2 linked regions of the Caenorhabditis elegans genome follow. The protein of the gene in region 1 interacts with the protein of each later gene in a pairwise test. Each region holds a gene or a part of one and is shown on either strand. Other genes may lie near its edges.

Region 1 (7,479 bases):
TGTCAGATGATGTGATTGACATGGGGCAGCAGTGGAAGGGTGTCTTGTGAAAACCCGCAAAACTTGAGAACAGATTGACAATAAGGTTTGATAAATGACCAGGAACGTCTAGTACGAATCGGTTTTTTTTGGAATGAGCAATTTACAGTTGAAATGATTTTTGATGCATTTTCTTTCCGAAATATTAAAGATCCTCCATTTCAAAATTAGGAATTGGAAAGAAAAAGTGTTGCATAAGTGTTAAAATTTTGCAGAATGATCTTCACAAACCATATGTTAAACATGGAACGGGAAAATGTTTGGGGGCTCTCGGAGCAAGTAGTCATCATCCACTTGACATTGTTCTCTTGGATTGACACACTTCACACTCAATGATAGGTGAGTGTGGGAAGAGTAGAATAGAGATGGTTTTAGGGTGGAAGAAATGGTTTTTCGGAATTTTTACTCAAAAAAATTATGCTATCAATCTGGCAGCGTATTTTCCCAGTAAGTAGCGCAAACAATTTTTGCAATTAATAATTTAATAGTACTGTATTTTTTGCTCGTTTATTATATGAGACTCCTAAAACAATTGGCGTTTTCTAATACAATACGAGAATACGTTGCTGAGATAAAATGTAAGATCAAAATTAGATCAAGAAAACTGAAATGATATATTTATACTACCGTATATTTTCTATTAGTATTGCACATATAAGTTGTTATAACTACTTAGATTTCAAAGATTATATTTCGGCTCATTTAGGAGATAAAAAAAACAAAGTTCATTCTTTAAAAAATTCAGAAAATAGGCGGTAGGCGGTTAGGTTCGCCTGAACACGTACCTGCCTACTTGGCAAGCCCCAGAGAAAACGATAAAAATACGTGAGTTTGTGATAAAACATAATATCACTTTGGAATGTTTCACTGGCGGATTCGGAAGGAAAAGACTAGAGAAGGGAATCGAATCACCAAACAGACACTAATCATGTGTGCACACACGATGACCCCCCTCCCATCTCAGGTGTATGAGTCTCAGGCGTGTGTCTTCTCCTGTTTCGCTTTTGTTAACATTACGTAACAGGAGCACACAATTAGAGCATATGTGCAATTATGTTCACACCTTTTATATCGTATAAAACAATGGTGTCGAGTGAATAGAACACGGGGACAGGTCACCTTGATGTACTTAAATGGACTAGAAAATATTGGTTCGCATTGTTTTCAAACAAGAAATCAGGTATCTTGTCAAAAAAAAGTTCTAAACAAAATAAATAATCTATCCAAAAATATATTTCATAAGCTACAATATTCTAGAGTGATACATTGTACATTACTGAACTTTCTCCAATTACAGCAAAACTTCAATGCTTCTTGCCTGCCTGCCTAGAAGCCTACCTACGACCTATTGTTTGAATTTTGGCGTGAATTATGTTGTTTGTTGTTTGCACTGTTTAGTTTTATGTTGCTTGAACTCATTTAAGTTTCGAACATTGAATTCAAACGTGAAAAATGTTTTTGTGTAGTTATGAAGTAGGCACAAATTAGACGTAGGCCACCTTGAAGGCAGGCGCGAGCTTTTGTGCCTACATCTGATGTTTACTAGATTAATTTTGAAGTGCTTGAGTGACAATTTTAGAAAATATTCATTCATGTGCATATGCATCTTTAAAAATCGTATTAAAACTCGTAAAAAATTTTGCGACCAGAAAATAAAAATTAAAGAATTTTATAAAATGTGTTTTCTTTTTGGTTGCGACCTGCTATACTTCGTCTTGATCTTTGGTTGATCTGTCAAGGGATAAAATATTCAGATGATTGTAGTTGAAGCCTGTGATTATCTGAAACAAAAATCACCCAGTTTCATTCTTGAACAACTTTCAGTATCCTACCTCATAGCTTGATTTTCGAAAAATGAAGGGCTTATCCCACAACACTTTTGCTTCAACTTCTCGAAAATCTGGATTTCTTCTTGATTTATCATTATCAGAAAACCGAATGATCGTCAGTTTTTCAAAATTCGTTGCCACATAAAAATCCTTCTCATATATAAATTCCAAATTTGGACGACGCTGCATAAGTGGATCGAATTCACAGGAAAAATCAAATTTTGTGCTGAAATCCCACGTATCTGCCACATGAATGTACCCCGATCTATCGGCAGAGATGAGACGATGTCCATCGGCAGATATTCTGGAATTTATGAGATTTAGAATACCTTCAATTTAAAGTTTTGAAAATAAAGTACTTTAGTCCATAAATTTGTGATTTGTGAAGAGATTTCTCAGCAATTGCTCCACGTGTGCTCCGAATATCAAATAGTCCAATTGTTCCATCTCGTCGTCCTGCATATAAGTAATGATGTTTTGATGGATACCACTGTACAACATCAATTGGTTCATCATTCCAATATATCGATTGAGGTAGATCCATTCCGACTCTGAAATGATATTTATTTTGAAATATAAAATGTTAATTAATTTTAATTAAATTTTAAATTTTGAAATAATTCATAAAAATTTAAGACAAGAGGTTCGACCAGGGGAAATTGTAAGACCAAAGTTTTAGAAAGTTAGGCAGTCATAACAAAATATAGCTCTTGTTCAATACAAGATCCACTAGCCTTCAGGCACGTAGGCAGGCATTTCGTGGAACTTTTAAAGCTTACCTAAAATCTATAATTTTCATTGATCTCCCTCCATCTGCCACGGCAACTTTTGAATTTGTCATATTATACTCATTCCAATCAAAATAAACATCTCCTTCAAATTGTTTCCCATGAACCACTTTTTCCATGGTACTATCACAAACTCGCATCCAATTTGATGCTGTTGTAACCATGAAAAGGCGAAGATCGATTGGACACCATTTTATTGTTTTCAGAGATTGCTTCGCAAGTTTTCTGAAATCTTGATAAATTTTAGAATTATTGCGGTTGTTACATACAGAGTCATAGGTTTCTTCCACTTTTTACGATCCAAGTATTTATATTTGGCAACTGACACTGAACCACTATGAGATCCAAATAGTAGCCTGAAAAATCAATTTTTTTTAAACAAACTCCTAATTAAACCAACATTTGGTCACCATCATCTATATCAATCGCACTAATATCTTCTTGATGGCCTTTCCCCGTCTGATCACAACCCATAGGAATATGTTTTGTCCATCGAAAATTCAAAAGAGCCCGTGAAACTTGTTGTTCTTCGAAAACTCGGCGTTTTCTGCAAAAAATTTCAAATATAACTCAAATTTTAAAAAAAATTAGTACAGTAAGAAAATCTAGGCCTGTAAATTCATAAAAGTTTAAAGTCGTTGCGGGACCCGTCTGGTTTTCTGACTCTTGCGCCTTGAAAAAATTGCGGTACTGTCATTTATTTTCTTTATTTGCGCATTTTAACATTAAATTTCTCTATTTTTCTCGTTTGTTTTAAATTTTAATTATGCATTTGCACTTTTTTTTCAAAATTATTACGAAATTCACATAAAAACCGCAAAACTCACTTCAAATCACAGCTGAACATGTACTCCTCGTGACGAACAGTCATTTTCCTGTTGAGAAATTATAGAAACATGCGAATAAATATATTACGATTAAATAAAAAGCTCAAACGTTGCTGTTAATTTGAATATCCTCCTTAAAACAGCCAATGGCCTAGAGTCCACCAAACAAGTTCATTCTCGGCCGCACCGGTTTTCCGTTATTTACCGGGCACTGATTCATCTGTTTCCAGACCGGTTGCAAAATTAGTTTGATAAAAATTTCAATTTCCACAAGGAAATATTTAGTTCAGAAATAGTAACAAAAGTAAAAAAGGTGCAGAAGTGTAAACAAACGGGCGAGAACACGTGGTTTTATCGATTTTTGCTTTAAACATCTGCATTCCGTCCTCTAAACTTTATGTGTCATTTATTGGCATTCAATTTGATTTTCTTTCAGATTTTCAGCCATTATGGCTGCAATAATCAATCAACGCGTCGAACAGGGCGAATCAAGTATGGGAGGAGCCAAACCAGGTTGGTGAATTGAAAACGAACCATTTGATTTCCATAACCTGTGTAATTTTCGAATTTATTTTAATTTTCAGCTCTTCTTCACAGAATCACTGGCCACGTGGCTCGTATCAATGACGTCATTTTACTATCAAAAGACGAAGGAGTCTGGACTGCAAGTGATGATAGATCCGTTCGCCTGTACTTAAAAAGAGATAATGATCAATTTTGGCCGTCAATTCATCATTTCATGCCAGTTGCTCCAACAAGTCTTTATTACAGTGAAGAAACTTATAAGTTAGTTTAAAGTTTAAATCGTTTTATTTTTTAAATTTTTAATTTTTTTATTCAGGCTGCTCGTCGGACTTATCAATGGAAATGTCTATGAATTCAGTGTTGCCGATGACTTTAACAGTATGACAGAATCCCGAAAATGGACATGTCACGCTGGACCAATCTCTGGACTCGGCTTTGCACTCTCCTCCGAGCTCATTTTCAGCTGTTCTCGAGATAAATCTATCGTCTGGCATTGTTCAGAAAATTCAAATAAGATGGGAAGTTATCTTTTGGAAAATAGTTGTACAGCAATGGTCATTGATCTTCCATTTGTATTCGTTGGAGATCATGGTGGGCATGTCACTGTTCTTCGTATTGTCGATAATCAACCAAATCTTGTCAGCAAGCTTAGTGCACATACGAGTGAGTTTTTATCGTATTCTTTTTTTTTGAGTAAAATATTAATTCGAAATTTTAAATGCTATCGTGCCTAGGAAAAATATTTGTTAAGTATAACATTCCAGTATTTCCTGAAATTCCCCACAATCAATACAATTAGTAATTGTGGTTTGAATTAGTTCAATGATTTTTCAGATGCAATCACCTCGCTCACATGGGACGGAAATAAGAAAGTTTTGTATTCTGGAAGCAGTGATCATCTCATCATAATGTGGGATATCGGAGGAGGAAGAGGAGAAGCTTATGAGCTTAAGTGAGTGTATATTTCTGGAATTTACGTGATATTTCGAAAGTGTTGATGTTTTTCGAGCGCAAAAGTTGAATTATATTTAGTTGAAATAGATTTTTCCAAATTAAAAAATGTTTTTTTCAGCGGACACAATGGAAAAGTGACAACACTATGCGCAGCTCCAGCAGCCAAACGTCTGTTCTCGGCTGACGAACACGGAAAGCTCATGTGCTGGGACATGAATTGCAAGAGAGTTGAGACTCCTGAATGGAAAACTTCGGATTGCTGTCAGAAATGCAATCAACCGTTCTTCTGGAATCTTCAAGCAATGTGGCAGAGGAAAGTGGTCGGATTGAGACAACATCACTGCAGAACCTGTGGATCAGCAGTCTGTGGATCTTGCTGTGACAACTGGACCACCTATCCACCAATGGGATATGAGACGAAAATTCGCATTTGTAATGACTGCAATGCACGAATGAAAGATAATCCACAGAATTTCAAGTAAGTTGTAAAGCAAATGACTGATGAAACTTATTTTCAATTTTAGCCTTACTCCACTTGCAATTCCACATGAAATCCATACTGGAATCACTGCTATGCATCTCCAGGAAACTCTCGGACTTCTAGTTACCAGTGGACAGAATCGTGTGATTATGATTTGGGATGTTCGAAGTGTTTGCTCTGCCCCTTCTGGATCACAATAAACAATTGCTTCTACTTCTCGAATTTCTCATAATTCTTTGTATTTCATCTAATTTATTTCCTCTCCTTTCTATTTTGTATATTCACTCTCAAAATGCCCATCCTTCCCCAAGACCAATTGTTGTCAAATCAAGACCTTCTAAAACTTACCAATATTTCCCGATACCCCTGACAGGTTGTCCTGAATAGTGATTGTGATTCTTACTTTTCTTCTAATCCCGATAATTTCCTAGTTTTTCGACTGTAAAATTGTATTTTTACAACAAAGTTTGAAAAAAAATCTTTTTTTTTGAAGTTTTTGGACAGAACGACTAGAAATTATTTCAAAAGAATGCATGCCGGGAGAGTAGGTGAGGTTGGTGACACTGGATGAAGGAGAAAGCTCACAGGAAGTACACAAAATAGCTGAGTTTTTGATGTTTATAAGAACGCTACGCGAAATTATGACTACGGGGAAAATTAAAAAATTGAGGAGAAATTATCAACATCCGCAAGCTCCTGCGCTGCTGTTTTGAGGGAAACTTCTTTCGGATAGGCACACGGATTGTGACCTCATAATACCAGTTTTAAGGCCTTCCCAGCCATCCACGGGCCGCAGTTCTCCGTCGTCGACTCGATTTTGAATCTAAAAATTTGAAAATTACATCATAAAATTGAAACATTTTCAAAAAAACCTCTTGTGCAATCATATGAAAAGCTTCATTAACATTGTCTCCTGTTCTCGACGACGTCTCGATAAACTTCATTTTATGGTACTTGGCAAAGTACTCGCCTTCCTCATAGTTTACCTGAAAGCTTTTAACCAATTTTTTAAACACAACTTTTGTTCAAAAATTACCTGTCGCTGTGAATCCATATCACTTTTTGTTCCGACTAATTGGAAGACACACTTCGATGGGCTTGGACCACCCAAATTTAATGCTGCTTCTTTAACCCAATTTTCAACATGCTCAAAACTTTCTCGATTCGTTGTGTCGTAGATTGCAAGGACTCCAACAGAATTCCGATAGTAGGATTTTGTAATTGATCTAAAAATATTTTTTTTAATCAGCTAATATTCTTTTTAAAAAAATCCACATACCTGAATTTTTCCTGTCCTGCTGTATCCCATAGTTGCAATTTAACACGATATCCAGGCCTCAACTCAATCATCCTTGCATAAAAGTCTACTCCGACAGTTGGGTCGCTGATTTCGGCCATTTTTCCTTCTGTGAAGTACCGTAAAAGACTAGATTTGCCAACTGTTGAATCCCCAATAACGATAAGACGATATTGGTAGTGAAAGAGCGGTCCATAGTCGTCACCAATGAAGTTTGTTTCCATTTTGTCTAAAAAATGATATATTGTTGAGCGTTTCCAATAGAGAATGATGCAATTATTATAAGAAAATAAATTTAAAGTTATCCGAGCAACAATTATCAATAAATATTACTTTTTTAAATGAAAACCTTTTTAATTTCAGCAGAAATCTTAGAAATCAGATGATCAATAAATAAAAACGGCTGACTTTTTAAAGGCGCATAGAATTTTCTTGGTGGCGGGTCCCGCACCGAAGAGCCGTTTTCTAAATAATATACACTAATGATTATTTTTATTAAATTTTTTCACGGTTTTCGAGAGTATTCTTTATATAAATTCAATTTTAAAGCATTCTCGTCGAGTTTGAATCCGAAATTATCGATTTTCGTTTTTCTCTGCTTTCTCTACCGCTGTTTTCTCTCCTCCGCTGTCTTCGCAAGATTATAGAGCTCTTTTGAATCAATTTGTTTCATGTTTCCGCTTTTGACGTTATTTTAAACATATACTGATATAAATAAATTAAGAATAGAGTAGAAAAT
Region 2 (7,579 bases), on another chromosome or scaffold:
TCGAAATTTGAAGAGAAAAAAACCGACGACATTTAACTCGAAAATGTGTGCAAATACTTTTTCTGTTCTTCAAATATTTTGGGAAAGTAACAAGTATTTGTCTATTGAGACTAGAACTTTTAGGTAACACCAAACTGTATAATTGAGATAATAATAAGAAGATTACCATAATTTGAATATCTACCTTCAAATGAAAAACCAGTTGGCATTGATTTACATAATCTGTTGATGGACGCGAAAACTTCCGAAGAGTTGTGCTGAAGAACAATTAAATACATCTGAAAGGAATGTGTTGGGTGATACCGGTAAACGTCCAAAGTTCGAGTCTTGGTAAATTAAAAAAGCAATCCTCTCGCAGAGACGAGTTTTCACATCATATCGTCTTTCGTTTTCGATGATAATCAATATCTCTGCTTGTGACAGTCCTAGCAAGTCTAGCGATTCCGAGCACTGTGCTTTTAAGAGGAGTTGGTAGCCGTCCAACATAATGCAGAGGGTTTTGAAATAGACGATCTCTCCTGAAAGATGTTCCAGATGGCAAGACCTCAGAAGGACTGAAATTCGCAACAAGGGATTTTATTCATCACTTAATGCAGGATCACGAAAATATTGAAATTCGAGTTCAAAGTCGACTCGTGCCAGCTCATTCAAATCCTATCATAACTAGTATGAAGAATTTGCGAAACAACATACACCAGGATGAAGACAACATGTATCAAGTATTTCGACGACAACTCGTTTTCAGGTATATCTTTAGAGATTGGGAGAAGCGGAATATGGATAGGTCAGGGAATAAACGACAACAACAAGTAACAGCAACAATCGGTTTTCCGCCTATTATGTGAAGGGGTTGGGAATAATCAAAAAAATTTTAAAAAAGAAAATGGAAAATTAATAATTTCAAAAATTGGCAAATTAATAAGTGGTCCATCGATACTGCTTAAGCCTCATCGTCACTGAAGTCTGACACATCATCACCGTCCTCTCCTGGGAAATCGAACATATCGTCTGATTGAAGTTCTCCAGTGTAGAAAAGAACAGCACGTGGAATGATGGTATCACGGATAGCTTGTCCCATCTCGTAGTCGAGCTCAAGGAACTCCTCTGCCTGTTCATCGTCCTCATCTTCATTTCTCTCGTCCTTGCTCTTTGGTGGCTCGAAGAAGTTGAAGAAACTATCTGCTTTCACAGTTTTGGTGAGGAACTTTCCAGCATTAGCTCCCTTCTTTTGCTTCTTCTTGACAGCCTTCTTGGTGACGTTCTTGCCGTCTTCCCACTCAATAGTATCTCCGACAGCGCGGATGACATGTGGTCCATCGAATTGGAGTGGTGCCTCCGCATCTGGGTCGAAACCGAGCAAGTAGGTCTTGGTAAGAACTTGGTTTTTGAAGTATGGGTTGGTGGCAAAGTGGAACTCGATTTTGAAACCCTGAAGTTCAAAACATTAACTTTCGAAAACAATGAAATGCGCTTACGGCTGGATCCTTGCTAGCGGCGGTCGTCACATCAGTGAGATATGAGAGGATTGGTACGTCATGCTCCTCGATGGCTTCAGCAACAAGATCATGGGTTCTGAGAGCGGTGAGCCAGAAATCCTTGATCCCCTTTGCTGATGGGTCAGCCTCCGCAGCTTTGTACAATTCCTGAAACAAAGAAATGTCAACTAATAAGCTGGAATTGTCATAGCCATATCATCGCGCAAGAAACACAATCCAGGAGCGGGAATAAAGGACATGTTTTATTTCGCAACGAAAAAAGGCGTGCCCCACGGGAGGCAAATCTCTTGAATAGTTGCAGGCTATATAGGGAATCTTGATTAGGAACTTACAGCGAGTTGATCTCCCTCGAGTCCTTCGAGGATTGGAGTGTCGATTTGTTCTTTAGTTGGCTCGACCTCTCCCGCGACAATAGCCTTTCTTTGATCGAAAGTGGATTTGAACTTTCCTTCAAACTCGATCTCGAGCTCGTGAACACGTTTGTAGAAGTCAGATTCAATCTGAAATAAATTATATACTTAAGAACATAAACAAAGAAAACTAACCTGAATTGTCTTCATTTGAAGGTTTTTGAGAGCGCAGACGCGTTGCTTGACATTGAGAGGCAAAGCCTGAATCATGTCGAAGTTGGTGCTGAGAAGTCCAGCGTCAATATGCTCTTGATCAGCCATTTTATTACCTACAAAGCATAAATAGATGATTTTGGCATACTCTTTCAAGCAAAAAAATACGATGATTTTCGAAAATTCGAGAAAAAATCTGTAAAATTATTGTGAAACGAAGCAGTGCTGTCTAAAATCATAGGACGAGAGTTGAAAATATATTTTCCAAACAACCACTTCGCTCCTCCTCCATAAAATGTCTCTTCGCGGTGAGACCCGCGGTTAAAGGCGCACACAAGCTTATTATTTACGAGATGGTCTTTCATGCCTATATTATTTTTTATCAATGTTTTCATATTGTCGTTTGTTTTCTGGTTTGTTTTGGTGATTTACATATAATAATTGTATTGATTTTTATTTATAAAAGTATGGATTTGTTATGATAGTAAATTCTCCTGAAATTTGATTGCATTTGAAACTAATTGTAGGCACTTTTTTTTTTAAATAAACAGTTTTTTGCGTTTCAAATTCTAAAATTTGATAGCTCTTCAAATAACCCACATCTTGGAATCATATTTCTCGTTTTCTCGATTCTCTCGAAGTTCCTTAAGCTATTAGAATATTACACATAGCATTCGACGCCAGATGTTCCCCCGTTCAGCACAAAACTTCTCACTTTACTTTAAATATTTTCAACTTCCGAAAATCTTAGCGAGTTTTCAAATTCATTGTTATTTTCAGGGAAAAATGACGACGTCCTCAGAAAATATGCAAATTATGAATGGCGTGGAAGTGCCACCGTTCAGAAATTTTCACGAGTTTCTGCTGGAAACCGATCGATACGAGGTAGGCTTGAATTGTTATTACATATATTTTTAAAGAAGGGCCAACTTTTGTAGAAAATATATTTACATATGTTGAAGTTTGACTAAAGTGGTCGTTTAAAATTTTTACTTAGAGTTTAATTTAAAAATAATCGAGTTTTTTATTTCAATATTCAAAAGATAAAAATCCAATTGATTGATTTTCAGCGTCCACCATTTAACGACTTCAAGAAATGGAACAATCGAATAATCTCGAATCTTCTGTACTTTCAAACCAACTACTTTGTTACAATCATCACTTTATTCCTTCTGCACACGTTCATCAGTAGCCAGGACATTTTCGTCGGTCTTATCGCCGTTGTCGCCGTAATTGCAACTCTAATCTTTGCTGTCTCGGCTGATGCAAATATCAAAAAGGTAATGATTGACGGGAATGTGATGTTTTTATATTGATAAGAAATTCGAATTGTTGACGGAATTGATAGGTACAAAGTTTTATTGGAATTTGGAATTCAAAATTAGTTTAAGTTCAAGTTTCAGATGCAAAACGCAGCAGCATAAAATTAAGCCATGTCCACCGTAAAAAATAAAAAGAGCTCGTTTTTACCGTTTACCTGAATAGGATAAGTTAACATATGTTTCACGTAACAGTTTGTGCACTTCGTTGATGAAAATTATTGTTGTGATAATCGTTTTTTTGCAAGTTAAAGCTAAAAAAATAATTGAAAAATATAGATTAAAACATGATGGCACATAAAATTGGTCCAAAAACAATTACTGAAACCAAGAATTACCAAAAAAAAATCAAGTTTTAAGATGCGCACGGATCATCCATTGGTCACTCTTGGAGGAATAATTCTCGTTGCCTATTTCTTCATTTCTGTCTTCCAATCCGTTCTTGTGGTTGCCTTTGCGTAAGTTTTATAAAAAATTACTAATGTTGTAAAACTGTTTTCATAAGTGGACAATATTCTTATTTAATGTAAATTTGTCGCAGTTATAAATGGACTTAATAATCAAATATAACTGTAAAAAATAAAATTCTTAATGTGTTTTTTTTTTAATTTTGCTGAAATTAAAACAAAGATATATTTATTTTTGAACTCCTTGAAAGCCGGAAAATCGCTAAAATTTTCAAAATTGACTTGAAAATCTAGAATCACATATATTTTTTTGCGAAAAGCTGTCTGAAAAAATATGGTTATTACAGTCCATCACCAAACGGCTCTACGTCACCTTTAAATAAAATTACCTAATAATCAAAAGTTAAAAAACCCTTTATATAAATGATTAATAAAATAAGTGAAAGAGGAAGTTTGAAAGATAGAAACAACTACACATTTCTCGATTTTTTGGTGTGTTCTATGCATAAAATATGAGAAAATCTGTGCTAAAGTTCAGAACAACAGGAACATAACACACCAAGACAAGTTTCTTAATGAATTTTCTAACAGGATCATGCTCCATTTATAATTTTGTATAAATTTCAGCTTGCTGTTCCCAGTATTCCTGGTTCTTGTTCACGCATCTCTTCGTCTTCGTGGTATTGCTAACCGTGCCGCAAATGTGAAGGAACAGCTAGGAATCCGTACAAGTGTCATGGGACAAATTCTCGACAGAACTGGACTCAATGTGAAAGTGTAGATATCAATTCAATTCCCCCCAGCCAACTTGACATATTCTTCTCATGTTTCAACTCATCCTTCTCCCAATTTTGCCTCAAAATTAACCAAATTTTTACGTTCCACAATTTTTTAATGTATAATTATTTATTGTTCTCCGCTCAATCATTTTCCCCCCATAAATCCATGTTTGTCAATTCAAATAGTATTCGTAATAATGGTTTCTTTGGAAAACAGAAAAAATCATTTATTAGCTATACAAAAACATTATGGGAAGTAGCGAGGAAGTTTGTCGGCGTCTGAAATTTTAACATTTCAAAAAAAACTTAATTACTTTACTCACCAACTGCAACCGAACGGATTTTCTTCTTATTTTGAACGCGTTGCCAGAATGGTTCTGTGAAACGAACATTTGAACCAACAAGACTTAGCAATGGTGATCTCTTATTGATGATTTCGAACTGAAATTTGAAAATTAGTTTTTTAATTTTCAAAAGAAATTGGAAGTTTCGTAGAGAATACACTTCACGCGAGCAGAACGCCCTTGCCTTCCAGGCGGCCTACGATTGAATTGTGCCTTCACGCGTGCCTAATGCTCAAGTTAAAGTACATGGGATACTTTTAAACCATATTTTCTATCTTCTTATTGATGAGATTCAACTGAAATTAGAATTCTTGCTTCAATAGGAATGGGGATTTTCACAGGATAGCAAAAATGCGTGCCTTCTAGGCGGCCTACCATCGCCTTCTGCCTACACTCCTGTCTACTGCAATTTCTAATTTATCTCTAAAATACTTAGTTGCACTTTCAAAAAATATCTGCAAGTAGAAATACGCATATCAATCCTGTGCAAAAACTGGGGTTCAAGCCAAAATTCAGAACAGGTAGGCAGGCTCGTAGGTAAACAGTCAAGAGAAATGACTACCTGAGCTACATTAGAGAAAATCGCATATCTTCAAAATGTTCTGAAAACCCTGAAAACTCACTTCATCAGGGTCCTGGAACGAATATAGCAATTGCTTTTCAAGCCCAAACAATGGCTGACTGGAAACAATTCCGAGAATAAGGACGAGAAGCCAAGCTGCGATTGATGTGGAGTTCATTCTCTGAAGAAATTGAAATTATGAATCAAGGTATGGGAAAGTAGAAGAAGAGGGGAAAATGGGCGGAGTCAACGAAGAGTTTTGATGTCAAGTACGTTGAAAGAGAATATTGAGGTGGAAAGAGGATTTGTAGGGATGAAGCTGATGTTTCTGATTTTAGAAAAGATAAGCACTTCGTCACAAGGTGCGTGGAGCGAGTAAGAAGGATAAAATCGAAGTTATAGAGATTTTAGAATAATTGAAAAATGTGAGTTAGTACATTGAGAGACGCACTAGAAGAAATTCGGCAATAAATTTGCATAACTAGAGAATCACAAGTAAATATTTATTTTGGGTTATGGTAAACTGGGAACTTCCTCAAGTGTTTATCTAAAAGTGAATGGATTGGTTTTGATGGGTCCCTTTGCGGAAAAAATGCACACTCTTTGGTATTTTCCATTTAATTTGCCGAGGCTTCACAGCGGGCACAAAAAACAGGCTCAAAAATTTCGAATTTGTCTTACAGTTTTTTGGAAATACGTCAAGTTTTTCAGTTTCATTTTTAATTGTGATTTTAAAATTTTTTTTGAAAGGGCGACTGCCGGAAAAAAACATTTTTCTAGTGGCTATCTCTCGAATAAATTCAAAATTGAGAGAACGGCACTAATTTTAGAAAATGTGTATATAATGCAAATTTTGTGGAAATTTCAGGTTTTGTTGGTAAACACGAGAGACTCAAACTCAAAATAAGCCCTCGAAAAAGATAAATTACATGGTAGGCAGGTATGCTTTCAGGGGTCCGGAAAACAAGATAACGTATTTTACTGGTCAAAAGAAAATAATAAAGACATCTGGGTGATCAAAAAGTTCAATAACAATCACATCATTTGTAAATGAAAACATAACCTAAGCGTCAAGAAGAGGGCTTAAAAGAAGGTTTATCTCAAATCGAGAGCTGCTCTTTGGAACATCATGAGTTTAGAATGATTTTTTAAAGTGAAATGGTTAATCTTTAAGAAAAGATCTTTCAAACATCATTTTTCAGAATATAAAATCCATAACATGACTAAACTACTAAATCGAATTTATTAAGGAACCTATGCTCAACCTATCCGCCCCTTACAACAATTATATTTCCTGCATAAACCCACGCTCGTTATCACCTACTAAATTGTTTTCCAAGAAACTCCCAAACAAAGACAGAAATGATTGAAACAAGATCTATGAGACAGACTTATTAATCAACTTTACCAATAGAACAAGTGACTAAAAATAAATGTTTGTGAACTGGAGTAAAGAATACTAATTTTGATGACAAGGGAATAATGTTGGAACACCAAAAATGTTGAGAGGAAGTGACGATTAGAATATCTAAATCAAAATTATTGTGACGTAGTTGTGTGTGCAGGACAAAACAACACTAAATAATATATGTAAGGACCAGGAGAACAACAAATTTCATGTAAATGTGTGATTTGGTTCTGATCGAAAAAAGTAACTACTGCCGAAATAGAAAAAATTAATAATATGCCAAAACCAAGCACCGAAATTTATGCCAAAACAAGGTCCGGTAGGTAGAAAAGTAGGCAGGCAGGCATGAAAAAAGCATATACGCCTGAACCCGAGCCTGGAGGCTACTTTAACAGTTCACGAGTTACTTCAAAATCCATTTTTGTTTTTCATAGTTTTTTTTTTCATATTTTCATAGCCTTTATAAATTTTTTTCAAATTGACCCCTTATTCAAAACTTAACTCAATAAATGTCAAATGTATAATTTTAAATAAAAACCTAATGGTTTCCAACTTATAAGTATTAGCTAAACAGTAAATAAATAAATCCGACCAAAAAAGAGTTGTGGGAGTAAAATGCGAAATGGGATTTCCGAGTATTATATGTATGTTGTTGTAGTCAATGTCTATCAGTCGAAGGATTCAAGGGATTTGGCCATAAT

What was found.
Region 2: the proteins of wdfy-2 (region 1) and praf-3 interact in a two-hybrid assay, tested with the Caenorhabditis elegans proteins (2 studies listed by BioGRID).

Annotation. Positions count from the first base shown.
Region 1 is NC_003280.10:9,315,946-9,323,424, forward strand, and holds wdfy-2 (WD repeat and FYVE domain-containing protein 2), read left to right. Parts: upstream 1-3,919; 5' UTR 3,920-3,932; coding exon 3,933-3,996; intron 3,997-4,067; coding exon 4,068-4,269; intron 4,270-4,324; coding exon 4,325-4,671; intron 4,672-4,842; coding exon 4,843-4,960; intron 4,961-5,080; coding exon 5,081-5,440; intron 5,441-5,486; coding exon 5,487-5,643; 3' UTR 5,644-5,933; downstream 5,934-7,479. Other genes in the region: csa-1 (WD_REPEATS_REGION domain-containing protein), read right to left, coding at 1,743-1,820, 1,872-2,172, 2,228-2,419, 2,648-2,881, 2,926-3,012, 3,057-3,203, 3,484-3,527; Ras-related protein rab-39, read right to left, coding at 6,123-6,266, 6,316-6,429, 6,480-6,669, 6,723-6,964. UniProt on the Caenorhabditis elegans protein: Plays a role in coelomocyte endocytosis.
Region 2 is NC_003282.8:8,377,145-8,384,723, forward strand, and holds praf-3 (PRA1 family protein), read left to right. Parts: upstream 1-2,839; 5' UTR 2,840-2,845; coding exon 2,846-2,944; intron 2,945-3,129; coding exon 3,130-3,339; intron 3,340-3,731; exon of another isoform or gene 3,732-3,738; coding exon 3,739-3,836; intron 3,837-4,412; coding exon 4,413-4,566; 3' UTR 4,567-4,741; downstream 4,742-7,579. Other genes in the region: D2096.7 (ELYS domain-containing protein), read right to left, coding at 167-257, 304-486; nap-1 (Nucleosome assembly protein 1-like 1), read right to left, coding at 941-1,429, 1,476-1,643, 1,829-1,996, 2,042-2,167; nssp-44 (Neuropeptide-Like Protein), read right to left, coding at 4,812-4,843, 4,888-5,005, 5,532-5,648.